Linked DNA regions of Struthio camelus. The protein of the gene in region 2 binds, or shares a complex with, the protein of the main gene of each other region. Links are inferred from orthologs where the notes say so. Each region holds a gene or a part of one and is shown on either strand. Other genes may lie near its edges.

Region 1 (7,649 bases), on a different chromosome or scaffold from region 2:
TTCCTATACCTTTCAACACAGGGAACGGGAGCAAGAAGAGTTACATATATCACACATACAAAAAGAGGGAAGGACATAGAAGGTCGGAATACACAATTTTGTTTTCTGTCATTATGCTTGGTGTCACTAATACTCCATCCCCAGTACTCCTTCCATCTTTATAAGCATCCTCTACTCAATCAGCTGTTTCTCCCCTCCGCAACACAAACTCCCAATGCACGCTGTCTTTCTGTACATCAATGGAAGGGCCTTCCTCACTGTCAACACTTTAGCTAGGAAGAAGAAACAGGCCTCAAAAGCTTGTTCCTCAGAAAGCAGTACGTCCTCTAACAGCAGAGCAGGGTTACAATACCCACGTCATTACCTAACAGAATTTATCACCAATAATCTCTACTGATAGCGATTCAACATACTGTCTAGAAAACCCCTATAAACTGTGAGGAATGGGTTTCCTAAGAGTCTGTGCAAGTCTTTCACGCTACTATTTAAACCTGTTGCTTTTTGAGCTATACTCTAGAGACACGGAGAACATCACTGTCTTGCACTTGTCTCTAGGCAAGTCTTCAAATACACAAGAAGGAAGAGATGCACAATCGCCGTTCTCTCACTCACTCCTTGCCCATCATGACTTCTGGACCTTTGATCAGGCTTGCTGTTCTCTGGATGCCCTCCAATTGGTCCACAATTTCCTTGGGGGCTTCCAGAGCTGGACACAATGCTACAGGTTAAGGTTTTACCAATGGAGAGATGTATAGATAGCAATTTTTAAGAGCGTATGATGGGCATATGTCACTTGTAATCCCCAAAGTACTCTTCTGAAATACGACATACCTGCTGCAAAACTGCCACCTGAATTACAGGAAACAAGAGTAAGAATGAAGTATCCACTATACAAAGCAGCATTTCCCAAGAAGAATTCAAGTCTGTTAGCTACAGTTTAAAAAGGAATTACCGATTCCATCTAGAGTTATCTTTAAACATTAGTACCAATAACCAATTTCCTTGTTTCACAAAACAAGGAGGACTTCTAGTTTTTGTTCTTACTTTTCAAGGAATTGATACAGCAATATCCGTACTGGGCAAGTAAATTTCAGATGTCTGCTTCGGCCAGTTCTGTTTACCTTCCAGAGTTTAAGAAGTAAATATAAGCATCTAATCTTTCTAATCAGTAATAGCAATTAAGTATAAAGTAATTATAACATAGAGTTCTGCTTCGATCTACAAAAGGAAAGCTCCCATCCCTGTACTACAGATAAGAGCCCTGCCAGGCTACAGTAAGGTGAGCACTAACTCATCTAGATAGTTTTCACTGACAACAGCAAGGGACGAGTAGAGTTAGCAATAACTGTTAACGCTTAAAATAACGCGACTTGGGAAAGCTCATCAGCAAAGTGGCACATGCCAGTTCTAAGCCATTTCAGAATCAAGAAACTTCTTATAATCTTGTCGATAATCCGTCACGACAACAAAACGAAATAACGTTCCTCCTCAAAAGTCTAGAAACAGTGGAAAAGGCACAATCAAAACAATAAAAGGTCAAACTAAAGACACCGTTTTACACTATTATTTCTTTATCAACACAGTTTAAGCTGCTCACTCAAATTATTACTGGTCCCCCGTTGCGCTGATTCAACTCTATGTGGCTGCACTCTAAAGAGATACGCAGAAAGACCGGTAAAACACACCTCTAACCATGTTGTGTTTTTATTTTTAAACCCAGATCAGTTCACACACGCGTTTCAGAGCGCTGCCGCACAAATAATCAAATCAACAGCACCAGCGGAGCAACAAGAGGTAAACTGGCCCATGCTTGTTTAAACCAGACCTCCCGAAGAAAAGACAGATTATATTTACCACAGATTCAGGGGACAGCAAAGAATAAAGCACACTCAGTTTGATTTCTACAAGGCGGTCCAGACACACACATCTGTCCTTGGGAAAGTTACTGTCAGCCAATTTTTCTCGACCTATGTATAAGGAATTGCACGGAAAGCTAGAAAACAGGAAAAACACCTAAAAAAAAAAAAAAAGGCAAGAAGCAGAACACAACAAAGGGTGGAAGAGGAACAAGGGTGCAAGGACAACACACAGCAAGCAACGGCGCTCCTGGATGGAAGTGAAGCAGCCATAACCAAAGCAGCAAGCATTTGGTTTGTCGCGTTTCATTAGATTTAGCAACACGCAGTTACCAACAGCATGAGCAGCCTTGTTTCCCCCCCCCCCTTTTTTTTAAACCCATTAACGCTTAAGGGGTGCGGCTTAAACGAAACCTAATATAACATCCTGGCAAGCCGCTCTAGGGACTTGTCTCCACAAGAAAAGTTACGGCTGCAGCTACAGCCGGTATAAACGCGGATGCGAGGCACGCGTTAACTCCGCGAAAACAGCTCTGATAAGACAAGGGGATGTCGGGTTTTTTCCCCCTTTTTTTTTTTTTTCTTTTTCCCCACCTCCCCACCCAGCCTGAACCGGCCGGAAACCTCCGCAGAGGGGTGGCTCGGTGCTGAGGCCGAGCCCGCACCCCCCCGGCGGCGAGGCGGCGGCTGACAAAGGCCGGCGGCGGAGCGCGGCCCCCCCCCCTCGCCGGGCCGCCCTGAGGCGACTTTCCCGCGCGCCGCGGCGAGCGGGCTCCGCGGGACCGTTAAACCGCCGCCTCGCCCGTTGTGAGGCGCCGCCAAGACCGGAACCGGGATCGGAACCGGGATCCCCCCCACCCCGAGCCGAACCGCACCTTCTTGTAGTGCTTCCCGAGCCAGACGCGGACCGAGTCGAGCTGGGACACCGTCTCCGGGCTCTCCCAAAACTTGCCCGTGGGACCGCCGTCCTTCCGCCGCGCCACCGAGAGCGCCGCCAGTCCCGGGCCGGCACCCACCGCTGCCGCCGCCGCCGCCGCCGCCGCGGCTCCGGCCCCCGCGGCGCCGCCGCCCGCCGCCACCGCCGCTGCCATTGTTACCCTCGCCGAGCGCCGCCACCGCGGCCCTGCGCCTCCCACTCGCTTCACTCCGCGCATGCGTCGAGCCCCGCACGCCCCGCCCCGCCGGGCATGCTCGGGAATACCGCTGCCCCCCGCCGCCGCCGCCGCCGCGCGTGCGCGTGCGCGCCGCTCCGCTCCGCTCCCCCCTCCCCGCGCCTCCTTCCCTGCCCCCGCGGCGGCCGTTGGGCGTCCGCGCTCCGCCGCGGTCAGCGCCTGCGCCCTCGCCGCCCCTCCCCCCCAAACGGCCGGCCGCCGCCACCGCTTCGGGGCGCATGCGCCGAGTTCCGTCCTCCTCCTCCTCCTCCTCCTCCTCCTCCTCCTCCTCCTCCTCCCCCCCCCCCGTGTGCGTCGGCCGGACTTCGGCGCATGCGCGCAGGGGGACCCATCGCCGCCACCACCACCATCACCTACCCGCCCCCCTCCGGCCAGCCTCGGCGCGTGCGCGCAGCCCTGCTCGCCGCCCCTCCCCCCCACCACCGCGCGTGCGCGTGCGCGGCGACGCCGCCGCCTCAGAGGGGCTCGCGGCGGCCGTTGTCGGGGCGACGCCGCCTCAGAGGGGCTCGCGGCGGCCGTTGGCGCGGCGGTGACGCCTCAGCGCGGCCGCGGCTCCCGCCATTTCCTCACAGCCCGGCCTTGAGGCCTGAGAGCGCCGAGCCGAGGCGGGGCGGGGGGTGACGCGCGGTGCCGGTCCGAAGAAGTGGCCGTGGGTTGAGGCGCGAAGTTGAGGGCGTGCTGAGAGAGCGGCCGCCTTCCCGCCTCGCTTAGGGCGCTTGTTCGGGTTCCTTGCTGCGCGAGCGGTGCGGCGGTGGGGTCCCTGGGTTTGCTGGGACGTGTCGTCCTTAGTGCTGGCGCGGCTCGGGTCGTTTGCCCGTGGTTCAGCCTCTGCTGCTGTCGCGCTGTGCTGGGCCGAGCTCCTGAGTAGGTTACCTGTGGCTGTGGAGACTGCAGCTCTGATGTGAGCTCCTTTTAAATCTCTTATCCCGGTAGAGAGGAGTTGGATGTATAGAGTGGGAAGTTAAACTTGTTCTGTTAAATGCCTCCTGACACTCATCTTTGGGCTAGCTGGTGGCCGTTGAAATTTCTGACACCACCGTTATGGCAGTAGATTTCTGCTGATATGAGAAATAAATCAGCCTGGCTGTTGCTGTTTGTATTATCCTGCTGTGGAAAGAGATGTCTGGGGAGCCGTTTACCTTCTTATATTTGCTACTCTGTCTTAGGAGCAGCGGACAGCAAAGCATCAGACCTCTGTATGGGATACCTGAAGGACATCTCATCCCGAGGTACTGCTGCAGAGATGTGACCAGGTTTATTGTTTTTTTTTTCCCTTCTGTATTTCTGAATACAGTTGGCCCATTGCTATAAGGACAGTTCTTGCATTCCTCGGCAGAGCTGAAATGAGCAGGCATGTCTCAGCCTTCGGACACCAGCCCAGGCTCTTTGTTCTCTAGTTGTTACCACAGGATGTGGTGGAGTGTTAGTGCCAGTGAAATCATTCCTGGGCAGCGTGATTGTGTGCGTTGTTCCTTCGGTGGCTAAAGCTTTGCACAGAAGAGAAAAAACGGCATTAAAATGAATAATGGTTGGAGGGGGGAAGGAAATGGAAGACCGGAAAACGGCCTCAGCCTTCAAAAAGGTTTGAAGCCTGTGATCTCCCCATTACGCAATGATTATACTGCTGAAAATAACAGGGTATGCATGTGATGATAAGCTGTCAAGCACTAAGCTTACAGATGGCTCTTTGTTCTAATTCGCTACTGCACCTGAGCTGGAAAGGGAAGCCGTTCCCTGGATCTGCTGGAAAGGGTAAGAATGACATGTACGGAGGGAAACAAAAGAGAAAAATATCATAATCTCGAGTAGTTCCTTGGATGGGTTATAGGGAGATATAGTATGTGGTTTTGCAGTCTGAGTCACTTAACGACAGTTTAGTGTTGGATGGCTTCGCAGCATGGCCTAGAGAAAACCATATTCACGCAACTCCAGGAGGATGAGTTGCTGCACAGGAGTAGAAAATCTTTTGGGGGGCAGAAATTCCTAAGGTCATAATTGCTATTAAGTTCCTCCTCTCTTGGAATCCTGATATATAGGACATACTTGTGTAAGTATGTAAGCATGAAGAAAAGAAAGGGGGAAGAAGAGGGGAAGGGAGGAGGACATAGTTGTACCTCAGTGAACTTTATGTGCCCTGATATTTTGTAAAAGCTCTCCGAAGAAATAAAATGAATTCAGATTCTGATGTTTATGACTGTGAAAACTAAGGAAAACGTTTGTATTTTAGTTACGTTAGAGAAGGAGATCTGGGTCTGCCTGCCCTGTAATCATAGGTTTCTGCTGTTAAGACTCATTCTCTTAGGTAGATTGGAATAGGATTAATATGGGCCTTGAAAGTGGAAAAGTATGGAATCAAGTATTTTATCTGGTGGAAACTGAGACTTTTGATGTGCCATGTAAGAACCTTGAGATTTCAAGGACGTGGGGAATGTTATTCAGGCCCTGCCTCCAGACATCTCAAATTATCTGCCTTTTTTTCATTCTGCCAAATTTAGAGTGTCCCTGCTTATCCTAATCTGAATTGTCTTTTGAGAGTGTAGACTAGCTTACCCCTCTGATTTATATGATTTCGCTGACTGTCACAGGGTAGGGAGAACTAGCTTTTAGCCTAGTTTCTTAAAGAAACGAGGCTTATTCAGTCATTTTTCCTGTCTGCGTTCCCAAACCTTCTAAGCGTTGGACCTGCTGACCGCCTTCAGTCATGCTTGGCAGACAACACAAATGCTGTGATTTCCTGGACAGCCGAGCGAGTAGTTTGTGCTCCAGAAGTGTGTCCTTTCCGCTCGGTCACCTGAGGCGTTCCAGGAATCTGAGCGTGCTGACCATTATGCTGGCAGTGGCATCATTTCCCTGCCTGTGGCAGGGAAAAAGGTTCAAGCCTGCAAACAAGACTAAGAAAAGAGCTGTACTTCAAGACTAGCTGACAGTTGACAAGGATGCGATAATCTTGTTTTAGGACGTGTCTAAGTGTGCGAACACCAGAGGAAGCAAAGGGAGAGTTCACAGTACAAGCAGGTGACTTGTGAACTGAAGCTCAGGTTTGCGTGGAAACTTTGAGAGGTTCAGTGGAGGTAGGTGATTAGGGAGTAAATTGGGTGCCTATATCTAGAACTGCCTTATGGTCAGTTTTGAGCCTAACAGGGTTCTCTTGGGAATTTATAGAAGGCTAATCAGAAAAAGCTGCCCTGCTGTGTGATCTCACGAAGAAAATATCTCATGGGAAGGGAGACCAGAGCAGGCAGAAGTGCAGAGAGTTCCTCTCTCTTAAGGGAGAGCTACAATTGCTCAGCATCCCACAGGGTGCTGCGTCAGTGCTCACAGGATCGTGGTCCTTCACTTCATCCCATACTATGGAGGATTGTAACCCCAGCAGAACAGAAATTTACAGCACGTGAAAAAGCTTACCTGGTTGGATTATGCTCAGTGGCGTTGTGAACAGTGCACACCTTGATGAAGCATCTGAGCACAGAAGACTAATGAGAGTTCTGTATGTAACCTGAAGGTAGCCAAGTTGATGCTGGCATCCCTTAGCAAAGAGGTGACAGTAGAGACTCGAGGTCTGCTTCCAGTCTTGAGAGATCTTGAACTTGCTTTCACTGTAAGCACAAGACCCAGCTTCCATACTGAGTGGAAGATTAAAAGGAGGAACATGTTGAAAGAAGACTCAGTACTGGCACAAAAGAAAAGTGGAGCAGTTGGTATTGCCTGAACTTGCCTGAACAGAGTTGGTAGTACTAATTTATAATCAAGGATATTTAGAAATAGACGAAACACTGACAGTCTTGCAGGATGCAGATGGCAGCCTAAGATGAGAAAAGATGCGGAGACATAAATTAAGAACCACCTACCTTGTACAGCCAACAAACCATTACAAAAGCAGTGAAAGATAATAGGGCCACAAGATGATTTTTGGACTGTGGAGGTGTTTGTATGTTGTCTTTTGGATCCCTGCCCCCCAAACTGCATGAAGAAACAAGTATTGGCTAGTAATAGCTGGCAAATTTACCCAACAGGTGGAAGCAGTTCTAACTCAAAACACAACCAGGGCAACTGCAAAGATACATCTGTTCTCATAATGGGGAGTCCCAAAGGAAGTTGAGACGTTAAAGGAGAAATTATGAAAGGTGTCAGACAGATTTAGCAGGGACTCTGCCTGTAGCTGCAGGGTCTCAGAGAAAAGCCGTCAATCGCTTTTTCGTCATCCCTAAGGCTGCACAGCCAGCTGACCTCCCCCCTGCATCTCCTTAACTTGGTGACACAGCTCCTCCACCAGCACACACCTCCTGCAGGCAGGGACATGCAGGCCTTTCCCTCTGCCCCAGCCTCAGCACCAGGCACTCTGTGCAGTGCTGCGTCCTCCTTTGGGAGCTCCATCTCAACAGAGGCCTCTGATGGGCCAGGGGTAGTTGCTGCAGTCAGGGCTGTGGATCACGTCACAGAATCACAGAATCGTTTAGGTTGGATGGGACCTCTGGAGATCATCTAGTCCAACCTCCCTGTTCAAGCAGGGTCCTCTAGAGCATATTGCCCAGGATCACGTCTAGATGGGTTTTGAATATCTCCAGCGAAGGAGACTCCACTCCCTCTCTGGGCAACCTGTTCCAATGCTCTGTCACCCTCA
Region 2 (7,496 bases):
GCGGCAGGAGCGGGCACCACCTCGCCGCCGCGCCCCGCGGCCCGGGCGCCGGCAGAGCGGCGACCTACAGCGGCGCGACTCCACCGGCACCGCCTCGCTCCCTACCGATTTAGGGACTTATCGGGCCGAGCTCGTCGGGGATGCGGCACGTCCGTCAGGGCCACGCTGCGATCTCTCGCAGCGCCCCGCGCCCGTTTGCTCCGCGCGAAGGACCTCTGCGGTCTTCCCACCGCCTACGGATTTTCGCGTGCGTGTTGGGGAGAAAAAACACAGTTATTCGTGCACGTATTCACTTCGGGCACGCTCCTCAGCGCCGTGCCACTCTTGTAAAGGCTGCTGGACTAACGCACGAGAACAGAGCACTTCACGCACCTCGATGCGTATCGCACGAGCCCTTACGACTACGGCGCATATACATACACACAGGGCACACACGCACGCACACACACACGCACATACACACTCTTCCAACAGAAAAAGGAACCCGGCTGTTTTCAGCGGATTTCACTGCGGTAACTCCATCAGTGACAAACTAATTTGCTAAAAGCATGCTCCACAGCAACTCATCCTGTTTCCAAAAAAAAAAAAAAAAAGGCCCTGCTGTAAGATAATGAATATTATTCTCCAAGAACCCACTGGGTCTGACACTCTAGTTACCAAATCCCTCTTCGTCCCAAGCTGCTTTTCCTCTGGGCCCTGCGCCTCTGCATCGCTATTTCAAAGTGGAGGGAAAATTGTTAATTGGGTTTCAGAACAACCTAATTTTCGGCAGTGAAACCAGCACTCCGATGCCTCCAGCCTAATTGGGGCCGCGTATTGTGCGCCGCTCGCCCCGGCTACGGAGGCAGCGAGTAGCTGAATTGGCCCAGAGGGGGGAAAAAGAAAAAAAAAAAAGAAAGAAAGATAAGGAAAGGTGGGGGGGGGGAGGAAGGAGGAAAGAGTAAAGAAAGCAAGAAAAGTGAATTGTACAGCAACTAAGCGGCGGGCAGGAGCCGCGCGGAGGCGGGAGCCGTCCCGGGTCCCGCGCGGGGGGTTACCTGGGTCCTGCTGATGGTCTGCCCGGTGTTTCCAGGGCTCATAGCCGGGTGGTTTCTTTGTTGCGCCGCTGCCCAGGCCGGGTTTGCGGCTCCGTACTGGGAGCCCATGTCTTTGCCCATGCCCATGCCCGCCGCTGCCTGCTGGCTGCCCGGGGCGGCTGCCGCTGCCTGCGGCTGGGGCTGCGGCGGCGGCGGGGCGCTGGGGCTGCTGTAGTCGGGGTAGCTGCTGCCGTAGCTCCGCATCATGGGGCTGGGGGAGGTGAGCAGCTGGTTCAAGGTAGGGGTGGCCCCGGACGGGTGCTGGTTCTGCCCGGAAAATCGCTGGAAGCCGCCGGCCGCCGCCGCCGCCGCCGCGCCGGCAGCCGCCTTGCCGAGGCCGCCGCCGCCGCCGCCGCCGGGGCCCATCATCATGCCGCCGCCCGGCTGCCGCGGCGAGCTCAGCACCCCGTAGCCCGCCGAGGAGCCCCCGTAGCCGCCGCCGCCTGCCCCGGCAGCCGCCGCCGCCGCCGCTGCCGCCGCCACGGCTCCCGCGCCGCCGCCGCCGCCGCCGCCGGGGCCCCGGCTGTAGCCCGGGTAGTGGTTGTACTGGCTGTTGGGGTAACCTTCGTGGGAGTTTTGCAGGGGGTCCATGCTGTTGGGGGCCGCCGTGGGGTGCATTATCCCCATCCCGGGGCTTTGTTGTCCGCCATGTTGATCAAAGCAAGGCCCGGCGCGGCTCGCCGTGGCGCTGCCGGCAGCGGCGGGGGCAGCGTTGCCATAATAGCTGTTGAACTCCGCGACACCCACCGCGGAGGGGCCGCCGCCGCCGCCGCCGCCGCCGCCCCCGCTCCCGCCGCCGCCGAGGCCGCCGCCGCCGCCGCCGCTCCCAGCGCTCTGGGGCGGCTGCTGGGGCTGCTGCTGTCCGCCCAGGGGTCCCAAGCCGGGGTGCTCGTAGCGGCCGCCGATGGGCTCGCCCATTTTGCCGGGCATCTCCTCCTCGTCGGCGCTTTTATTCAGCATTTGCTGCGGCTGCTGCGGGGGCTCGGCCTGAGTGCCCAAAACACTGTCTTTTCCTCCATGTTGCTGCTGCTCCATGTCTGCACTGGGCTGAGCAGCGCCGCCACCGCCACCGCCGTTGTTGTTGCTGCCGCTGCCGCCGCCGCCGCCGCCGCCGAGGCTGCTGTTGTTATTCTGCATGGGATGGTGCTGAGGCGGCGGCTGCTGCGGCGGCGGCGGCGGCTGGAATTGATTTAGCTGCTGCTGTAGTGCATGGTGGTGGTGGTGCGGGTGGTGGGCATGGTGGTGGTGGTGGTGGTGGTGGTGGGCATGGTGATGCGGGTGGTGGGCATGGTGGTGGTGGTGGTGGGGCGGCGCGGCGGGGTGATCGCCTCCGACGCTTTTCAGTTTGTGGTTGGGGAGCAGCCCCGTCTCCATGGCCGGGCCCGGGTTGGAGGAGGAGGAGGAGGAGGAGGAAGAAGAAGAAGAAGATAACGCCGAGGAGCTTCCACCTTCCTTCAGAGCCGGCTCCGAGGAGGAGCCGCCGCCGCCGCCGCCGCCGCTGTTGTTACCGGTGGCAGCGGCAGAAGTTGCGTTATTGGCCATGTTCAGCGGCTCGCTGTGGTGCTGGAGGAGATGGTGATCTACATTATTCAGGCTGCTGCCGCCGGTGGGAGTCCCGTCTCCGACCCCCAGCATGGGGCCGGGCCCGGGAGCCCCCGCGGCGGCGGCGGCGGCGGCGGCGGCGGCGGCCCCGGCCCCCCCCGGGCCCCGCTCCGGGCCCAGGCTGCCCGGCAGGCTCGGGGCTTTGCCCTTGCTGTTGTTCGCACCCGCCGGAGCCGCTGCGACTTGCGCGGCCATGATCATTGCAACATTGCAAGTCCGGAGAAATTATTAGTAGTAAGAATTAAAAACAAAAAAACAAAACAAAACAAAACCCCTTACCCTCCAAAAAAAAGGGGGGAGGGGGGCCAGTCGGGGGGAGGGAAAGGAGAGGAGAGGGGCAAAAAGAGAAACGGCTGGGGGAAAGAGACGTAACTGAGCCAACAGTATCCCCTGCGGATCACTCCACACGCACAAAAATTACAGAAATTTCCCTCCCCGAGTCCGTGATTGAGATTAGAAATGGTAAGAATGCCTTACGGTCTGTGCCTGTTCCTGCTGTGTGATTTCATGTTGAAAGTTTTTTTGTTCAGGTTTAAATGAAACTTTTTTTTTTTTTCTTTTCCTCCCTAACCCGGATATGGGTAAATACACGTCTGACTGAGCCTATCTGGCCCAGCATGGCATGAGCGAGCGAGCGAGCGAGCGAGCCCCAGCAGCCATCGCCCCCTCCGCGCCGAGCGCTCCCGCGCACTCGCAAAACGCGGACTGGACTCGGCGCGGCGCCGGCTCCCGCTGCCGCTGCCGCTGCCGCTGCCCGCCGCGGCCCCGGTGCCGGCACGCGCGGGCGGGCGCGCGGGGCCGGGCGGCCGGTAGGAGTGGGGGGCGCGGCCCCCTTCGCGCCCCTGCTTAGATTTTGGTGGGGTTTTTTTTTCATTATTATTATTATTTATTTTCGTCATTTTCTGTGCGCACCCAGGGCTGGAGCCGGGCGCCGGCTCTGGGATCAAGTTCCGCGGAGGAGGCAACCCCATGCGGGACTCATGTCGGCCGAGGCCTCGCCCCAACGGCGGCTCCGGCCCGAGGCGGCCGCGCTGAGGCGCCCGGCCCGGCCCGGCCCGGCCCGGCGGGGCTGCCCGCGGGCGCTCAGCGGTCGGGCCCGGCCGGGCCGGGTAGACGGGGGCAGCCCGCACGTTGCCGGTGCCCAGATTGGCTGCGCTAAATACATAGAAATAAATGGGTCAAACTTTGAAAGGCTCTAGTCCTCTGCCCTTGAGTCCGGGATGTGCCGCGCAAACGCATTTTCATTTTACGCGGATGACAGGGAAATCCTGTCATCCGTTTCATGGAAAAATAGGATGCTTTTTTTCTCCCCCCTCCCCCCCCCCCGGGAAGATTTCTGTTTTTTTTGCAAAGGGTTATAAAATGTAACCCAAAATTCTGCGGCAGTAGCATCTTTGCAGTTGGCCACGTTGCCCAGCTGCCTCCAGACTCTAATGGTCATTGCACTGATGATGCTTTTATACATAGGGCTCTTTTCAGTATGTTCTGTGTGCTTATTTGCGGATCAACAGGAGCTGGTCAAGGGGAGTGAGACGTTTTGAGCCTCATAACTGTTTCCCCAAACAATATAATTTCTAGTATGCACAAAGCACTCATGAAAACCTAGTAATACAAAATATGTAATCAAAGTAACTTTTGCTCCAAATGCTAAACTGTTGCTGCTGACCTACATTTTTGTACACTCTTTCAGAATGTGTTGGAGGGGTTTCTATAACTATCTTAATAATAACTTAGCATTAGAAAAGATAGTAGTCATACACTACATTCAACTAAGAAAAGCAGTGGGAAAATCAAATATTCTGCACAAACATAGCAAACTGGGACGTTAATGAATGTTTTCAATATAGCAAGGGTCTGAAATACGCTGTTTTAAATGAATTGTTCTATGTGCTCTGTTAGAGATGACCGTGCTTTCAAATTTCAAAATAGATAAATAGGAAATTCAATAGGAATGATAGAGAAAAATACAGTATACCAAGAAAGATGCTGTCACAAGTAGGTAGGCCTTTTTTATATCCACTGTGAAAACATTAAAGAGCAGAAGCTTCATGCTCTAATGTTGAATTACATGCAAAGATTATTGATAAATGTGCAAACAGTGTGATTCCAGTGTCTATTCATTTTAGCTCTGTCTGAAAAAGTCAGCTATGTTCTGATTTCCATTAGGGAGTTAGTTTTTTAAAGTCTCAGTGTTCATCAAGTACATCTTGATAATACTTCTATTACAATCATATTTTTCTTCGTTTTCTCTTTTGGTACTCTGTGCAAGTGCGAAAATGTTATATGGCTAGTAGAAACAGAGTGGGAAAAAAAACGGTGAGTAATTCTAGTGGGGAGAATCAGGTGCATACCCAAGGGTCATTACAGTCTGTAACAACAACAAATTGCAATTCTATGCAAACTGCTAGAAAGGGGTATATCATCTTTGTAGGAGAGAGAATAACAGAACTGTAAGATGAATTCATGCCAAATCATTCATCAGCTTTTGCCAAGAGAATACTACATCTTTGTTAGTGAGCCTTTTTGACATTTTCTCCTGGATTTTCTTCTTTTCTATATTCAAACGCACACTAATTATACACATTAAACCACATAAGTTGATTTTTTGAAGTCTTTCATATGCAAATATAAATATAGATGTCTACTTGTGTGTATTTATTTACATGTGTACTCTAAAATAAAATAAAAAATCAATTACACATTTATACTTTGCGACATTTATATCCAAGCAAAAATATTTATATTTAAAATCTGATAAATGTATTGACCGTGCCTCCGTTGAGGACTGCAGTACTTCCTGACATAGTCCACAACTCTTTCTGAACAGGAAAATAAGCCACAAAGTTTTAACGCAGATTTACTTCAAGACGTTTTTCCTGGGAAAGAAAAAAAAAAAAAGATGAAGCTTAGAAACTGAAGAGTTTATGCTACTAACTCCTTTTCCTTCCATTTGTTTCAGCAACGAGGCTGGCTACGAGATTGGATCTAAGAGGCTATAAAATTGAGGCCCTCAGCACAATGAAATCAGTCTGCTATAAAAGGCAACACATGCCAGTTTTTCCTCCCCAATGGCAGATGCCACACCCTAAAGCAGACAGAAGGCACTGCAGTCTGTGCAAGGGAAGCACAACACAAAGCAACGATGGTTCAATTTTTTAGATCACAAATAATGTTGAAATTCCCTTTGCCATCTTTGCTCAGATGATGAGTGGTAGTGTTTGTTAAATTCAAATTCTCCCTTCCAAAAGCTCTCATTATATGTATGAATTATGAATTTATTGTAATAGAATGTAAAAAAAGCTCTAATTGTCATGCATATAATCTGCTGCAAAATGATTGCATTGATATTTAATATCGCAAGTGCGTAGTTTCAACTTTAGTTCAATTTTCAGTGTTTCTTCAATTTAATTGTTTTCTATAATGCAATATTGTCTAAGCATGGTTTCTTTTTCTTGATTTTTTCCTGATAAATTATAAACTCCTGTGTTCTGGGATAACTTTCCAGGATAAACAATATAATTGTCTAAACTTACTGTTGTTTACTTATTACATTGACTATGACATTTATACAGACACCCTAAGCTGTCTGTGCATAGCTTGCCAGTATGGAAGTTAGATGCGTTTCACAGCAGTAAGGCAAACATCTTTCTGTTTGGTCAGAACAGTGGCTTTTAGATCATATAAAGAGTAACGGTAAAGAGATATACAGAAAATAAAACAATATTTTAACAGCATGGAGGCGTTATTACCTTTAGAGATATCGGAATAAACAGCAATATTGTGCTTTTTGATTTTTTTTTTTCTGTGAGGTAAGAATCCAGTCAGAGCATCAAGACCCTGTTGCATCTGACCTAATACCCACAAAGGTCAGAAAAATTCCTTCATGCAAAAATCCCTTTTGTCTGGTTCTGGTTGTGCTGTATGCTTAAATTCACTGTGCAGTTAGATGAAACAGTTGTCAAATTCACCATCATTCTCAATTTCCTTCTTTCAGATTGGCATTAGGTTTAATGAGAAAAAAAAGAGAGAATTGAGATTTTATTAAATTATCACGTCTTTTACTAGTTAAACATCCAATCCAAATCATTCTGAAGTCAGTGCAAATCTTTTAATTGATTCCAATAAGGAGGCATAAATCAGATCACAGAAAAGTATGTAGCCAGGTCAGTGCTTTAGCTTTATGCTTTAGCTTGGTATTTGGTGCTATAGTAATGCGATTTTCCTTTTAAGAAGACCCTTATGTGGTCAATATATAGCAAAGTAATATTTTCTTCATCGTATGTTATTTATTTTATATTTCAGACATGAATGTAATATGTAAGCTATTACAGTGGATACCTACCTGTTAAGTTAGGTGTAAAGGCTATATGTAAGTGCGATAATTTTATTTTAGCTGGTCATAATAGACAATGAAAAAATACAGTGTACGCCAACAGACTGTGGCCTAAAACGTGTAGAGAGTGACACGTTCTACCAGGTAATTAAAATCTATTCTTTAGCAGACACTAATTCTGGGCAATGTAATCAATTTCTTCTGGCAATGTGTAAACAAAAGGACTTAGAAACATCACCATCTCCATCTCAAGAATGTCATGTATTATTTTATCATGGAATTGTAACATTAGCAATTTTTTTCCTTGCTGGTTTTAGGCCATTTGAATACAATGTTTGAATACCTCAGTTTTACAAATGCGAATCATCCACTGAAGTCAATAAGATCACTCACTTGCTTAAAGTTAAGACCTGATTAAGTGCTTCTGTGGACTGAGGCCTCTAGGAAAAACAGCTCTTAAGTCTGTCCTTGGTGAGATATCAGCT
Region 3 (7,827 bases), on a different chromosome or scaffold from region 2:
TAACTCTTTTAGCCATACTAAGTAAAATTATACCTTTGAACTGTTCAAATTTAAGGAGTCAATCAACCACTTTTAATAATGGTATCTATCTCACATATCATAACAACGTGAATTAAAACAACTTCAATAAATCCCTCCTTTGAAAAATCTTATAGGTATGTTATGCTCTTGATCTAGTACGTATAACAAATCATTATTATGCCAGGGTACACCTATTGTAGCTTCACTTAAACAGACAAAGTAAGGGCTCTTTGTGTAAGGTAAAATTCTGCCATGTGTATTAGGTACCGCCGTCACTTTTCAAAGTAGCTTTGGTCAAATACAAAGTACAACAGATGATCTTACCTCTTTACACAGGAAAAATAGAAATAAAACTCAGACATATTTTCTTTACGAGGTTATGAAACAAATTTCAAACAAAATTGTATTAAGATATGAACGACTGCTGATGACGATTTTTAAGAGGAACTGATGCCACAAACTAACTCAGTCTAAGTCACTGGGATTGCAGGGGCTCGGAATCTAGGAAAACCACATACAATATTTACTAGATCCATGGTAGCATGTAAAAATTTCTTTTAAGTGTCAGTAATTGCCTTACTACTTATGGCATGTGTAACAAAAACTGATACTGCAAATTTTTCCAGTACTGAGTTATGCTTCTATCTTTTGTTAATGGTACAAACAACGCATTTTATACTGCCCATGGTTCTGTATCTACTGTATAAAGCTGACTAAGTATCATTAACCTTAATATTGATCTGGTGTTGTTAATACTTGAGTATTTGGCATCCTGAATGTAATAGCCTGCCCTCGCATTTTCACTATGCAGCTTTTTTTTGTGCTTATACTGTGTACATTTTACTATACTTGAATTTGAACTAAGTTTTAATTGCTTTAAGGCACTTTAAACAGGGATATGAATTTACCAAAGTAAATGATAGCACTACAACAAAAAGTAATAAAACTGAGTTTGCCCATGCTTTTTTTGTGAGTTTGGCATATATGTCTCAAGAAGAAAGGAGTAATAGAAAAATAGAAAAACATACAATAAAAGCAGTTGATAAGCAAATCTGTAGCACTGCAGCTGAGTGTTTTTTAAAGCTCTTCTCTACAATTGGTAAGACCCATATTCCCTAAGAATCTTTATCACAACATGCATGCAGGGTGTGTATTCTTCTTGGACAACAACAATTATTCTTTTTTGCTAAAATCCAGTAGCCCTGACTACATCTCAAGTCCTTTGTTCTGAGCTCTGCACACAAAAAGAAGACAGACAGCATCTGGCATACACACTTTACCATCCAAAAGACAGCAGAGAAGCAGAAACAAATAGCAAGTACGTACATGCCTTTTACCACTGGGTGTTTGGCTTACTCTCTGAACCACAATACTTGTGCTTTTAGCTTATCTAGTGCAACTCTAGATTTTTCACTAATGCTGGAAGCCTTCCCCAGCATAGTACAGAACTCATATCTGACCCAACCCTGCAATGCAATGTACGCGCTATTTTGAAAGAGAAAAATTACTGTTTAGATCTAGAGTAATCAACTTGGCCCGGGAAACTGAGTACATAGAAAAAAGGTTGACTTTATTGATACACGTTATTTTGTCCGTATAAGGGCCTCACGGGTTCTGAAGCCATTTCCCCGACTTTAACAACCGTACAACTACATCATGAGCTGTCCCATGAACGAGAAATTTATTTTACCCACGTAAGTTCCCATTATATGCCACTGAACTCAATTACTCATAAAATACACAACTCCTGGTTGATGTTTGAAACAACTGGGTCAAACCCCGTTATAATGTTTTATATTTACAAAAAGTGCCACTGAGAATGCCATGCGGGCATAGGAAAAAGCAGTATGCACAGTAACATCTTGCCCTGATTTCAGGTCACTTTAAAGTTGAATTTAAAAATGCAATATTGAAGCCTAATACTATGGCAAAGAATTCTTCACTGCTAAGATGCTAATTAAATTTAGACAAGCTGGGCTATTACCATCTAACACCTGCAAACGTCTGCCGTAAAAATGAGTTTGATTGTCTCAACCTACTTGCCACTGAATATATGTCCTAATTACAAAGCTTAAGAAACTGTTGCTAACGGAAAAAACAGAAGTCTCAGAAGTCGGATAAGAGCCAACTATGTAGAGCCCGTCCCCCCAATTAAAGAGGATGTTATATAAATAATTTTATTACATCAGTAAAACTACTCATGTCATGCAGTACATTGCAAAGTATACTACAACCTCTGATGCCAGAAACTGTCCTCCTCAGCTAAGTGAAAGGCCATGGTATGACTACAGATGACTTGGATATCCAGGTCTACCAATCTAGTAACTGATTCATATGAATAGCAAAATGAAAAACATAAAACATAAAGCAAGCAATATATTGCTAATTTTGAAAATATATATAAATGATTCGGTTCTATGAGCATGGACAGTGATTATCAGGAAGCATACATGAAAACCATATGAAATATTTCAAGCTGCATAAATTTAGAATTGACCTCATCATTTTAAAATTTCTATGCACAGAACACAATTACACCTTTCTTGCCAAAACCATACCAAGTTCTGAATAGGAAGAATGAAAATGTCATGCTACATGCAATAAATGTATCTTTCAATGTAACTTCAAGGCATTCTCACTCAGCTGAACACCTAAGGAAAATAAAAGGCTTTTGAGTCTCAGCGACAGGTGCAGTCGTACAACAAACTCCAACCACTTCTTCAAACTCCTCTTTGTCTCGCTCCTCACATCTTAGTTTTCCTAATCATTTTTGTCTACTTGACTGAATATTTGATATCGCTAAAATTTAATATTTGAAATCACTGAATATTTGATATCACTGAAATTAAATTTGAAAGCAGTGTCTTGTTAGCAGACATCCGAAGGTTCCTGCTAAATTCAAAGCATTAGCTCTATTAACATTTGACCTGGGAAAATGAGAGTGGAATTTAACTAACTGTCAAAGAGGACTATAGATGTTAGCAAGAAAATACATAAACTAGAACGCTGCACAAAGTGTTGATGCAGAAAGAACGAACAGAATAGCCTTTCACGAAAAGTCCCCTTTGCCTAGCAAGTGCAAAGGTCAAAGACATGCTACTGGTCAGCGCTGACTTCGTTCTGGGCATATACAAGCGTACAGCGTATAGAAACAGACTCTTAATAACTACTTACTAGGAAACTGTCTTAGCATTTTATCAGCAAAATCAAGTTATTAATAAATTACAGAGGAATGCATGAAGCAGTCACAGCCAGGAATAAAACTAGGTTATTTTTAACAAGTATTTTCTCACCTGTTCTTCACAAACTTCTATCCACGTGAAACTGGTGGACTAAAAAGAGGCTGATCTAGCTGACTATCTGAGGAATCTTTGGATTCTTACATTCTTTTAATTACCAAATGGAAGTTGCAGATTATTCTATTGTTCTTCAGCAAATTTCCACCGTGGCCATAGATAGCATACTGTAAGCAGATGAGGGCAGAATCATTGTCTCTGTGTTCACAGAAATGTGCTTATTTAAGAACAAACTTGTTTAGATAAACAGTGCGCATCAAGAAACGGGCCTAACTTGCAGTAACACAGGATCCTATTCAGTTAGGTTTTTTTCAAAAAAACAAAGATGTTTCTGCGTACTGTCTTAGCAGGAACATCCACTGTTTGGCTTTCCTTCAGATGCCATATCGCCAGGCCCACCCAAATCTTCCTTCATAGGTGTCTAGAATTTTATCTTATTAGCCATATGACAGCATTTCATTTCCCAATTTTATATTTTTATTTTGAACTCAGTCACTTTAACAATTTTCACTGTGCAAAACCATCATATGTGGAACACTGAGGTCTGAAACTGCTCTGCTCCTCAGACATTCAGAGCTGCAAGGTGTATTGTGTTCTGTATTTGCAGGCTTTTTACCTGCATATATGATACCTTTGCATATTCATGCAGTAAATCGTTCCGGATTACTTCAGAGCTCCCTAGTTCACAGTCTTCTATGACTCAGCTGCTAAGTACTTGAGCTGGTCAGCCCGATATAGTCCAAAATTAAAGTTTGCACAGATTTATAATTATTTCCCATAGGCCACATGTTTAGTCTTCGCTATGCTCATCATCATGCGGTTCTTGCAGGCCGACCTGTTTCCTCTAGACCTTCTTTTGCCTACGCCCTTCCATCGACCCAGAAAAATCTTGTTTTTCCCTCACAGCACCTTAAGCAAGAGCAAACTTTGGGCTAAATTCCGTTGCCGCTCAGCTTCTCTTCAAAGCCATGCCCCTCCCGGACCGTGGCTGCAGGACGGTCCGGCCCACTCTAGACACACGGCTCCTCGGCGCTGCCGGGACAGGTCACCTACGCTCCTTATCCCGCTCCTGAGAGACATCGAGGCCCCGAGGCTGTAGCGCAGCAGCGCCTCTTCCAGCCGCTCCCCCTCCCCCTCCCCTCACGGCCGTTTGCGCTGCGCCCGGCTCTTCCCGCTCGTCTCCTGTCCCGTCGCCGCCGCCCCGCGCGGAGGGACTCGGCCCGGCCCGGCCCGGCGGCCGCGCTCCCCCTCTGAGGCGACGCGAGCCGAAAAGGCGCCAAATGGCCGCCGGGCGCGTGGCGGGCGCGAGGCGCCAACGGCCTCACCTCCCCCGCGCCTGCCTGGACGTTCTCAGCCGCAGATTCGCCACGCGGAGACAACGCGGCAACCCGGCCGCCCGCCCCTTCCGCTCGCCCGCCGCGGACCTGCTAACAGCGACCCGAGCGGCGGCGGGCGCTACCGAGCCCCAGCGGAAGGGCGGGAAGAAGGCTACGCTGGGTGTGGAAAGTGCGGAAGGGAACGCGAGGCAGGCGGGCAGCCCCGCCGGCTGAGAAACCACCCCGCTGGGGGAATGGCGGGGCGGGGCGGGATGGAGCCGCGCCTGCGCGCAGAGCCCGGCGCTGCCTTTACCCTCTGTGTGCCGCAGATTCGCCACAATCCGCTCCGGCTTCCCTTCCTCCCGGCGGGTTGCGGGCGTGCGGGGAGGGTCTGTGCCCGGCGGTGACACCGGAGGGGAGACGGGCAGCGCAGCGGCCTCTCCGGTAAAGCCCGAGCAGCAGCCGCCGCCGAGGGCGGGGCGGAGGCTCTGCGTGTGGAAAGTGCCGAGGCGCAGGCGCGGCCCGCGCGGCCTCCCCCAGCCCTGTGGGGAACAAAGGGAGCGCGGCCGGGGCCGGAGCCGGTGAGTCGGGGCGGCGGGGCCCGGCCCGGAGCTCGCCCGGCCCGGCCTCCTCCAGCGCGGGCTCGCGGCGGGGGCAGGCCGAGGGGGTCGCCGAGGCCTGGGGAGCCGCGGGCGGGAGGGGCTGGGAGGCGGCAGGCCCGGCCCGGCCGCCTCTCGCCACCGGGCGTTGGGGGGCCCTGTCCTGGCTGCGCTGCCTCCGGGGAGGCGCCGGGGGTCCCGCCCGGCGGCGGGGGGGGGGGGTCGAGCGGTGCCTCTCGGGCCGGCTGCGGGTCTCCCGGGAGCGGGCACGGCCCCGTTTGGAGGCAGCGGGAACGCTGGGCCGGCTTCAGAGACCGGCTGCTCCGTGGTGCACGCAGGGGCCTTTCTGCCCCGTTGAACTTCGTGAGCGTTTCGGTGCGAAAAACGAGGAAAGGTCAAAGCGAAGACCGCTGTGCCGTCACGTAGTGCCAAAACGGGCCTAACTTCTATTGAAATCTTGATGGACTTCTTCTAAGAGGAAGGCTGAAAGAACACTGCTTTATTGCTGTGTGTTTCCCTGACACGCTTACGAGCTTGATGCTGAATGAGATTAAATCTCTCACATCCCATAGCCGATGCTATGAAGAACCCTATAGCTTCTATCATGTTTGGTGATTACTTTTTCCTGTTCCGTAATGGAAATATTTAGTGAGGTCGCTCATACATTAAGACCAGGTTTCTGAAGCAGGCTGTGTAAAATAGTGATACGTATCCTTTTTATTGCTTAGGAAAAAAGTTATACTTAAAATCTGTATCATGGAGATCACATAAACCTGAATCACAGCTGTTTAAGGCCAAACTCCTTGGAAAGCACATTCATGTTGCAATAATATATCACCTATAGTTTTCAGAAACTTTGTTTTGTTTTTGTTCCAAAATTTGCAAATCTTCTTTAGTAATTAATGGTAATTATAATTGAAATTTCAAAGAGTTGGGAAAGCTTAACATTTAATAGCATAATATTCTTTTGTTTTTCAGAATTACAAATATAATGTCAGGTGGCTGAAAATTTGCCTATCAAAATGTCAAGTAAGTTTTCAGATTTTTCTTCCTTTAATTTGGTGAATTAAAGATCTGAATCAGCAAGAACCAAACTGTGAGATAATTCTGTCATTCCTTGTGTGAAAAGGAATGATTCTGACCAAACTCTTGGCCTTAAATCTTGCTTGTGGCTGATTTCTGGCATCTCAGGTGTGATTGGACCTTAGCCTGTTCCTGCTTATTTCTAAAGCATACTATAACATATCAAAGACTACTTTTTGAGTACAACTCTCTGTTTCCATAGACAATCCAGATATCAGTTTCTCCTAAATGATGTTTCACTACACTTTTGCTTACCCTCTTTTTAACTGATCTTCATTTAAATATGTTTTATAGTCTTTAATCTTATGTCTAAATAAAAGGCTAGCAATCTGGCAATGGCGTGGGATTTTTTTTCTCCTCTCTCTCCTATCCTTTGTTTTACAATCTTCAATGACATAGTGGAAAGTAAGTCTTTGAGGCCAGGATCTCTGTCTGTCTTCTGTAAATCTTTGAAGTGTTTGGGACTCTGGATGCCTTATAAAGAATTCATTCGCATTTTCAAGAAAAAACTTTCTGCTTGCATTTATCTTTCAACAGAAAGGCCATCTTACGCCCCACCTCCTACCCCAGCTCCCGCAACCGTAAGTATAGTGATTTTTCTCATTAACACAGATCTGGTGATATGGCCTTTAATAACTTACCACAGCCCTGGGTCGGAAATCATATTCACAGCTTGTGTTGCAAAAATATACTGGAATATTTAAGAACAGACTGATATACACTTAATTCTAAAATTTCATGCCCAAAGCATGGGCAAAGCACTATGTGTTTTGGTGTTTCTGTGGTACCTACCTAGCTGACTTTCAGTGGAATGCAGGGGCATGCAAATCTTTGTTATATTGGCTCAGAATAACAAAACGTTCATGATGACAGTCTTATTCAAACTTCTTGAAATCCTTGGTATTTTTGGTCTGTTGCATGAAAAATATTTTACTGTACAGTCTGGAATGACACTTACAGAAACATGAGAGGTGATTTTGAATCATGTCCAGTTGTGTACATTTAAAAAAAAAAAAAAAAGGTACTGAAATACCAATGTCCTGAGGTCAGAAAAGCACCTGAAAGCAAATGAATCTTATGTAGCATTTGCATTTCTATAATAGCTTGCCTTTGAGGATTAATGCATTGACATGAGAAAGTACTAATCTTGTGCAAAAGAGAAAGTAAGGATGCTAGTGAAATTACTGACCAAAGAAAATTTGAAAACTGTTATCCAGTGTTTTTCGTCTGTGCCTCTGGGATGAAAAGTGCAGGATGGGATCTAGATGAAATGTAAAGTCTGGCGCAATGAATTTAAAGGATCACATTTAAAAAGGCTTGGAAATGCTATATTGTATAAACATAGATTGTTCTTAAAAACTTATGAAAATAAAATATTTTACTGCTTTTGGCATAGTTTGTTCAGAGTTTTCATTTTGCACACAGCTTTATAGATTGTGCGAATATTACAAAAACTATGATGGTATCTGCTCTTATAACTGGATTCCTGCATTGAGAACCAGGCATGCACAT
Region 4 (7,516 bases), on a different chromosome or scaffold from region 2:
TACTACTGGACAGTAGAAAACACATCAATAAAGAGATAAATCAGCCTAAAGATGGTCATTAAAGCCATGTTTATCCATAAAAATGCATAGAAATAGAGCAGAGAGCAAAAAAAGGACAAAGTGAAGGATGAAGCCTTAGGAAAAAAAAAAACCTTTCTCTCCTCCTACGGAAACAACGCATAAGACCCTGATGAAACAAAATGGGAATAAGACAATTATAAAAAAATTAAAAAACAAAAACAAACCTTGTTTACATAAGAAAGGGCTAACCAGAGATATAACAAACTATCAAAAATTCAAGCAGAATGAGGACAAAGTATTGTCCTTAAGATTGTTTAACCATTAAGATATTTCATACTACAGGGGTGTCCCATTTGAATGGGACAAACAGGGAAGAAGACTCCTTCTAAGCTGGCAACGTGGAAAAGAAGAACAAAGGCAAGATGAAGTATCCAAGAGCAAAGGGCAAAGTGACCTCAGCAAAGGAGAATATGTTTCCAGCAAGATCAAGTGAATCCAAATTCTAACTGCCCTCAGGAAATGCTGCAAATTTTCCTTTTCGTTAAAGCGTTCACATAGCAAAAATTTTTCTCACAACATTCTACCTCTATTTACATCCCCCCTATCTTTGCCAAAAAAATAATGCCTGCAATAATCAAATAAGTACAAAGATAAAATACAAAATAAATAACTTGAAGAGGAGGTTTTTCCTGAAGTGAGAGTAGAATCTGACTCCAAGGAATTCTGATAAAGTTTCATTTTTCAAGGACTTAATTCAAATGCTGCCACACTGTATGTGGTAATAAAACTGAATAGCTAGCAAGATGTGAACACAAGGCAACAGCTGTGATGGCACATTCATTTATTTGGGAGAACATAGGACCTGAAGAAGTAAAATGAAGTATGATTTTTTTTCTCTTTTTTTAAATAATGGAAGACTGACTACCTCAACTTGTGCTTTGATCAAAAGTTACCCGAGACGAGGAAGAGACTGATGAAAAGAACAAATAAGGAAGCAGAAGCCAAACTGAAGAAGATCATCATGGAGGGTAGGGGAGGAGAGGGGAGGTAAGGGCAGGGTCACACAAGAAGCGTTTCTGGCAAGAGAATAACAGACAAGAAGCCCCAGCCTCACTAACAGGAAGAAGATGACATACAAATGCAGATATTTCATGCAAATGCAGATATTCAAGTAAGATGCCACTAGCGGCTCAATTCCCAGTGCAAGTCAGATTTCCTTAGTATCCAAATAACTAATGGAAACCACTTCTACTGTATTCATTCTGGTATAAATTAAAAATTCCAGTGCTCAAGAGGACAGCATGCTCAGCTAGATGTAGAAGAAACACATTCACGTAACTATTTTAGCCACTCTTCTTGATACTGAAGGAAGTTTGCTGGTGTGCAAATGCAGTAGAAAACAGAATGCCTTTTCCTGGGAAAAGGGAAAAGCATTCCACATGCCAACGCCTCCCACTTTGCCTATGCTTCATCCTTTACTATAGCCATCCTAGCTATAGTAATCCTGAGCCAGAACATCTTAATGACTCCACATGTCCACAACAAAACCACTGCCACAAACCTGCACACCAGCTATTTGATTGTCTCTGTACATCTGCCAATCTAGCAACAGACTGCTCCTGCACATTGGCACCAGGTCATCTGTTCACTGTTCTCACAAAAACAAAATGCCACCTAGAAGTCCTTGGCCTTGCAGGTCTCACCATATCCAGGATCTGCAAGTCACCAGCTAGATTCTATGCATCTGGAGTAAGCCTGAATTACAGAGACAATTCTGCAGCCTGCAGTGAGCTCCCCAGATTTCTATGACTGTTGCACAAGAACCTCCACCTGATGTCTTCAAAAAGATGTCACAAGAAGGTGCCAGAATCCTCAAGAGAGAAATCACCCAGGACTATTGGTAACCAAACAATATCTGCATTCTTTTGGACTTTTCAGTAATCTTTTTTTTTTGTTGTTGTTGTTAAATGTATATAAGAAATCCACGTTATAAATGGTGACTGCATTCAACCGTTTGAGAGTCATCTATAAAACACGGTCTCCAATGACAGTAAAACAGGGGTTAGCATTTCCCCTTAAAAGGAGACTGAAGATCCGATTCTTAAACAAAAGCTAGAAAATTTTTAAAGACCTCAAGGATTCCTTTAATTAACCATGGCACCCTGAAATTCTCTTGTGGGTGAGTGCCTATAGACTGTTGTAGATCTGCAGAGCTAATCTCTTCAAGCCCCTGAAAGTCACCTGTTAAGTAGCCAGAGGATACATAAGAGCCAAGTCTGGAGACAAGAACCAGAGGCAGTACCACAAGGCTTCATCAGGCTTTCATCAGAATTGTTTTTCAAAACACAAGTTTGATTACAGAACAAAGTGTCCTACAAGCCCATCTGGGTCAGATCCAGTGCAGATTCTGCACTGTGAACAGGCTCAAAAGAACGCTATTCACTATTCACTATTCATGGAGAATCAAAGCAAAAATCACAGCACACATCCCCCCAGACACAAGCCTGTATTATCAATGAATCAGTACATATTCTGGGGGCTTTGCAGACCCCGGTGCTCTCCTGGCAAGGCAGTTACCAGTGCCCCAAGAGCACGTTTCAGGAGCCAATCCAGCCCAGCACAGAGCCTCCAGTTTCCACTCATCCCTCTATTCAGAGCCAGCCAGCTCACTAACTTTCCCGACTCACCACCCCATGGACCAGAAACTCAAAAAGTTTGCTTTTCGTAGCTTTGCGAGCCCCTCCTGTAACTTCATCTGTAGCCATCAGGGTCTGCTCAGCCTCTCTCACTCTCTCTCTTCCTCTTTCTTTCCCTTTTCTGCCTTTTTCTCCAACTCTCCCCTCTGAGTCCTGCTGGGCTCTCACACTTCTAATAGCGCGGAGTGGGGAGGGGGCCCCTTCAGGGCCTTCCTGACGGCCCACTCGCGCTAAGCCTCAGCTGCTGCATTCCTCCACTGATAAGCCAGAAATAGTTTGTGCTGCCGGGTTCTGTGTGTTTACTCTGCAGGGACAGAAAATCCAGCTTTTTAAACCTCTCTGTCCAAACACCAGAGATAAGCAGGAGGCAAACTGAAAACACGTCTCAGCTTTTTAGTAGCAGCGCTGCAACCTCTCCTCCTCAGCACAAGGGGATGGTAAATTCTGGGGCAAGGGGGAAGGGGGAGGGGGCAACTTCAGCAATGACATAAACTCAGTGCTTCACGGAGAGACTTTTCCCATTAGAAAATGCAGCAGGCAAGCAGTGAGAAACAATGGTTTTCCCTTGCTCCCACTGCTCCTCCTGCACTGCATTTCCAGGCCTTTTCCCCAGAGACCTGGCAGGCAGCACACAGAAACATTCACTGGCAGCGTTTCCAGCACATGAGACTGAGAACTAACCCCTTTGGACGAGAGAGAGAAACAGCAGGAGGCAGAAAGCTGGGAACAGGGAGGGACGTGGTGTGAGAGCGAGGGGAAAGAAAGAGTGCGAGAGCAGCAGAGGAGGGGGCGGGGGGCAGCATGGCGGCGGGGCGCAGCGCCTGCTTCGCTCCTGCCCGCCCGCAGCCTCCCCTCGGCCCGCTCTCGGGCCGCTGCCATACCGCCGTGACGGGGCCATCAGAGAGACCCCAGGTGGCTGACCGACTCCGACACTGCTAACGCCACGGCTGCCATTACGCGTCAGGGCTGGCTGCTGCCGCTCACACAAAGCCCCGCGCACGACAAGGCGCCTGGTCTCGGACCCTGCTGGGGCCGCGGAGCCGCCGCCGCCGCCGCGCCTGGGGGGGTGAAAGCGGGGCGCGTCGGCCCCGGCCCTGCGCTGCCCCGCTGCCGGCTCAGGCCGGGCTTGAGGTGCAGCGGCGGCCATTCCGCGCAGCGGCGCCAGCTCCTCCGTAATGGCAGAGCGGGTGGCGGCGGCCCGGGCGGCGATCTGCCGGCTGACAGCTCCTCCGTGCCTGCGCTGGCCAGGCCTGATGGCTCCCGTCGGCCTACCACAGCAACAGAGGACTGTTGCCAGGCTGCGAGAGGGGTTTATCTTACTCCTCGGCTTGAAATTCTTGTCTAGGGGCTATGAATTTTCTAGCAAGGCCACGAACAGAAGAGAGTCAGACCTGAAACAATTAAATAAATAAATGTCTGCCCTCAACTAGTACTAACAGCAAGCACAGAGAAGACACAGAATCAGCTGGCAGTGAACAGCAAGCCGCGAACATCACACAGCCCTCTGCACGTGGGGACGAAGGCAACGACCTCCACTGATTTTCAGGGTGACCCCAAACTGAGCACTACTCTGTGGGGATACCCATGGGAATTACAGGAATTTTGGGACGGCAGGCATTGCTGCCTGTTCCCACTCCCCCCTCAGCCTAGTCTGTTCACGAGGAATACGCCCAGTAAAGCAGCATGGCCTTATTCTGTGCAAAAACCCTTCCTGAGCTTCTGGCTGCCTTGAATCAAACGCACTTTATCTGGAACCACACTGTGCGCTGCCAGCACGGGCCTGCGTCTCTGCAGCCTTTTGGTTCCCCAAAGCACACACTGCCATTAGCTCCTGTCTTGCGAGCCCTCTCCCCTGCTCCCAGCACAATGTGCTGTTTCTTCCCTAGAGATCACAGCAGTTGTTGGCTGCTGCGCTTGCTAGAGTGCCGCAGCTTTCACTGCAGTGGGATTACTGACACGTGTCTTTGTGCAGGTGTTGCTATTGCCATTGCTGGAGGGGAACTGGGTTACAGTCCCGATTCTGAGAGAACAGTACAAACAAGCAGCTGAAACATGCCTAAGCGCAGAACGGCTCGCAGGAGGCTTTAGGCATCAACTGCCGGACGCGGGCTGACGGCCTCCGAGCGGCTCCGGCGCGGCCGAAGACCCCGGCGCGAGCTCCCCGGCCCCGGCGGCCCGGCCAGGCCCCGGGCCCTCGCCTCGCGGCGGCCGCCCGGCCCGGCCCGGCCCGGCCCGGCGCCGCCCGCGCTGCCGGCGCCGCGAAGCGGGACGGTCCTGGCCCCGGGCGGCCGCCCCAGCCCCCCGCCGTGGCGGGCGCGGCTCCGGGCCGCGGCGCGGCGCGCAGTCCCCCCTCGCGTCCCCCCGCGCTCCTCCGCCAGCACCGACGGCACCGAATGGCAACGGCGCGCCCGGCACGGGCAGGGCGCGCGCCAGCCGCGGCCCCAGGCGCGCCGCGAGCGAGCGGGCGGGCGGGCGGGCGAGCGGACGCGCCGGGCCGGGCCGGGCCGGGCCGGGCCGAACCGGGCCTCCGGCGGCGGGCGGCGGGCTGCCCGCGGGCCCCGGGCGCGGCGGCGCGCATGCTCGGCGCGGCCGCCGTGAAGGTCAGCCCGCGGCCTAGCGGGGACGCGCGGGCGGGGGCGGCGGGCAGCGCGGCCTTAACCCCTTCCGCGCCGCGCCGCGCCGCGCGGGCCCGGCCCGGCCCGGCCCGGCCCGGCCGCCGCAGCGCGCTCCGGCCCGGGGCGCTCCCTGCCGGCGCGGAAGCCGGGCTCGCCGCTCGCCAGCCCGGCGCAAGGCGGAGCCGGGGCGCGGCGGCAGCCCGCGGGCGGCTCCCGCTGCGGGCGCGGGCGCGGCAGGCGCCTCTGCCCGAGCGAGGAGGAGGTGCGCGCTGCGGCTGCGGCTTGTAGCAACAAGCTACAGTTGCCCCATCTCCCTCAGTAGGAGTCTTTGCTGCATTCTGCAGCAGGAGGGTTTATGCTGAAGTGTTACTGAATTTCAGTGCGATACAGTACAACATGAGTTGTGTTCTAGCTGGATGTTCTTCACGGGAATTACATGAAGAAATTTCCTTAAAAGAACATCAGATAACAAGGTCAACCACACTTGAAAAGTAGGAGATGGTAGATTCACTGTTGCCATAGACAGAGTAAGTAGAAGTCCTGAGGGAGAAAAAAATGCTCGTGTAATAATAAAACTCGGCTCTTGGCACTTGATAGTTCTCAAGGTGCTGCAGAAAAGAAGTCAGTATAACTGTCGCTTTTTTTTTGCAAATGGAAACTAAGGTACAAATGAATGGAAGTGACTTGCCCAACCTTACCTAGCTGAGAATTAAACCCATTTCCTGTGATTCTTCCACTCACTACAATGCTCTAAGAAAAACTAGTGTATAATGCATGTGCACAAAAGGATGAGGGGTACAGTGCAAGAATGAATTCCTCCAAATTACAACTGCTTGACTTTGTAAATTAAATACTTTTGTTTTAAATTTGTTCTTTTTTTTCTATTTTCCCCACATGTTTTCTCAGAAAATGTAGAAAGTAAGTATGTTAAAAAGTGCCTGGTTCAACCCAAGTATCTTCCCCAACTGCTACAACTATGTGGGCAGCTCCTAGACATTTCTAGTCTAGCACGTCAGCAGCATGGGACTGACTCTAGAATAGTTGTATTCCTTTACTAGTTTTTAAAGGTTGAGCACACTGTGGAGCTCCCTCAATCCCTCCATCCTCCCTTCAGGCTCCCTTTGTGTTATATTCCTAACTCATTTTATTTCAAGGAAAGCCTGAAATTCTCCCTCCGCACCTCTTCTTGGGGCTCTGGAGGCCACTTCTGTCCAACCTGTTTTTTTGCTTTGTTTTTCTTTTTTTAAAATTCTGTGCTATTATTCAAGCTTTTAATATTTTTAAACTATAGTGATCAGGCTATAAAAGCTGAAAAGATAAGGTGGTGTTTTTTGATGATATGTTTGTTACTGCCTTCAATTTTCTGATCTACAGGTGATTAACAAAGTAGATAAAACTGCTGGTTGTCCTAAAGAGGCATGGTTTCTTTCATCCAATTTTCACTCAAGTCAATAGGGCTCTGTCCACTGAAAGGTAAAATATTCTCTACAGTTTTAGAACTGATGTAATATGCCATAGAAAAAGTACTGAAAATCAGGCAGAAAATGTCCCAAGGCTGAACCTTTGCTTATTGTAATAATGTTTTTTCAAGAAAAAGAAAAGGCTAGGGGAAAGAAATAGCAACTAGGTCCTGAGTTCAGAATTATTCAATATTCTCATTAACAGTCTCAATAACAAACAAGATAACAGGCTTATTAAATTTGCTAGCAGCATAAAGTTAGGGGGCGAATTGTAGGGGTGTACTAGGAGAGAGGACTGAAATTAAAATCCTGAGAAGCTGGAGAAGTAGTCTGAAAAACCAGGCATAATTCAATAAGAAATACTGCAAGGTTCCACATCAAGGCAGGAATAATCAACTACATAAATATAAGATGGAGAGCGACTGGCTAAAGAGTAGTTTTTGAGAAAAATATTTGGGGATCGTAACAGATCATAAGCTGAATGTGAATCAACACTATTACACCCACACAAAATAAGCAGACAAATCATAAGAGCATTAGTGGTGAATGCTGCCTCACTTCTCTCTTCCCCTTGGTTACAGCAGAAGCAGTGACAATGACACTATAGATTCTTCTTTTTCTCCTCTTCTCATTCTATCTCTGCTTCTTTCCCATCCTTCCTCCTCTTCATGGCACAAGCAGTCATGGCTCAATTGTAATAGTGCTGAGGAACTAGCACTGCTGT

The links.
Region 1: ARID1B (region 2) and SMARCC1 share a complex: the UniProt entries of both Homo sapiens proteins name them as parts of the neuron-specific chromatin remodeling complex. The link is inferred for Struthio camelus from reciprocal best matches to the Homo sapiens genes ARID1B and SMARCC1.
Region 3: ARID1B (region 2) and SMARCE1 share a complex: the UniProt entries of both Homo sapiens proteins name them as parts of the neuron-specific chromatin remodeling complex. The link is inferred for Struthio camelus from reciprocal best matches to the Homo sapiens genes ARID1B and SMARCE1.
Region 4: ARID1B (region 2) and SMARCD3 share a complex: the UniProt entries of both Homo sapiens proteins name them as parts of the neuron-specific chromatin remodeling complex. The link is inferred for Struthio camelus from reciprocal best matches to the Homo sapiens genes ARID1B and SMARCD3.

The regions. Positions count from the first base shown.
Region 1 is NC_090943.1:1,277,921-1,285,569, reverse strand, and holds the start of SMARCC1 (SWI/SNF complex subunit SMARCC1), read right to left. Parts: upstream 3,011-7,649; coding exon 2,732-3,010; intron 1-2,731. UniProt on the Homo sapiens protein: Involved in transcriptional activation and repression of select genes by chromatin remodeling (alteration of DNA-nucleosome topology).
Region 2 is NC_090944.1:78,519,924-78,527,419, forward strand, and holds the start of ARID1B (AT-rich interactive domain-containing protein 1B), read right to left. Parts: upstream 3,016-7,496; 5' UTR 2,880-3,015; coding exon 1,038-2,879; intron 1-1,037. UniProt on the Homo sapiens protein: Involved in transcriptional activation and repression of select genes by chromatin remodeling (alteration of DNA-nucleosome topology).
Region 3 is NC_090966.1:7,066,625-7,074,451, reverse strand, and holds the start of SMARCE1 (SWI/SNF-related matrix-associated actin-dependent regulator of chromatin subfamily E member 1), read left to right. Parts: upstream 1-4,821; 5' UTR 4,822-5,214; intron 5,215-6,210; 5' UTR 6,211-6,254; coding exon 6,255-6,261; intron 6,262-6,852; coding exon 6,853-6,896; intron 6,897-7,827. UniProt on the Homo sapiens protein: Involved in transcriptional activation and repression of select genes by chromatin remodeling (alteration of DNA-nucleosome topology).
Region 4 is NC_090943.1:136,316-143,831, forward strand, and holds the start of SMARCD3 (SWI/SNF-related matrix-associated actin-dependent regulator of chromatin subfamily D member 3), read right to left. Parts: upstream 3,019-7,516; 5' UTR 2,787-3,018; coding exon 2,709-2,786; exon of another isoform or gene 2,696-2,708; intron 1-2,695. UniProt on the Homo sapiens protein: Involved in transcriptional activation and repression of select genes by chromatin remodeling (alteration of DNA-nucleosome topology).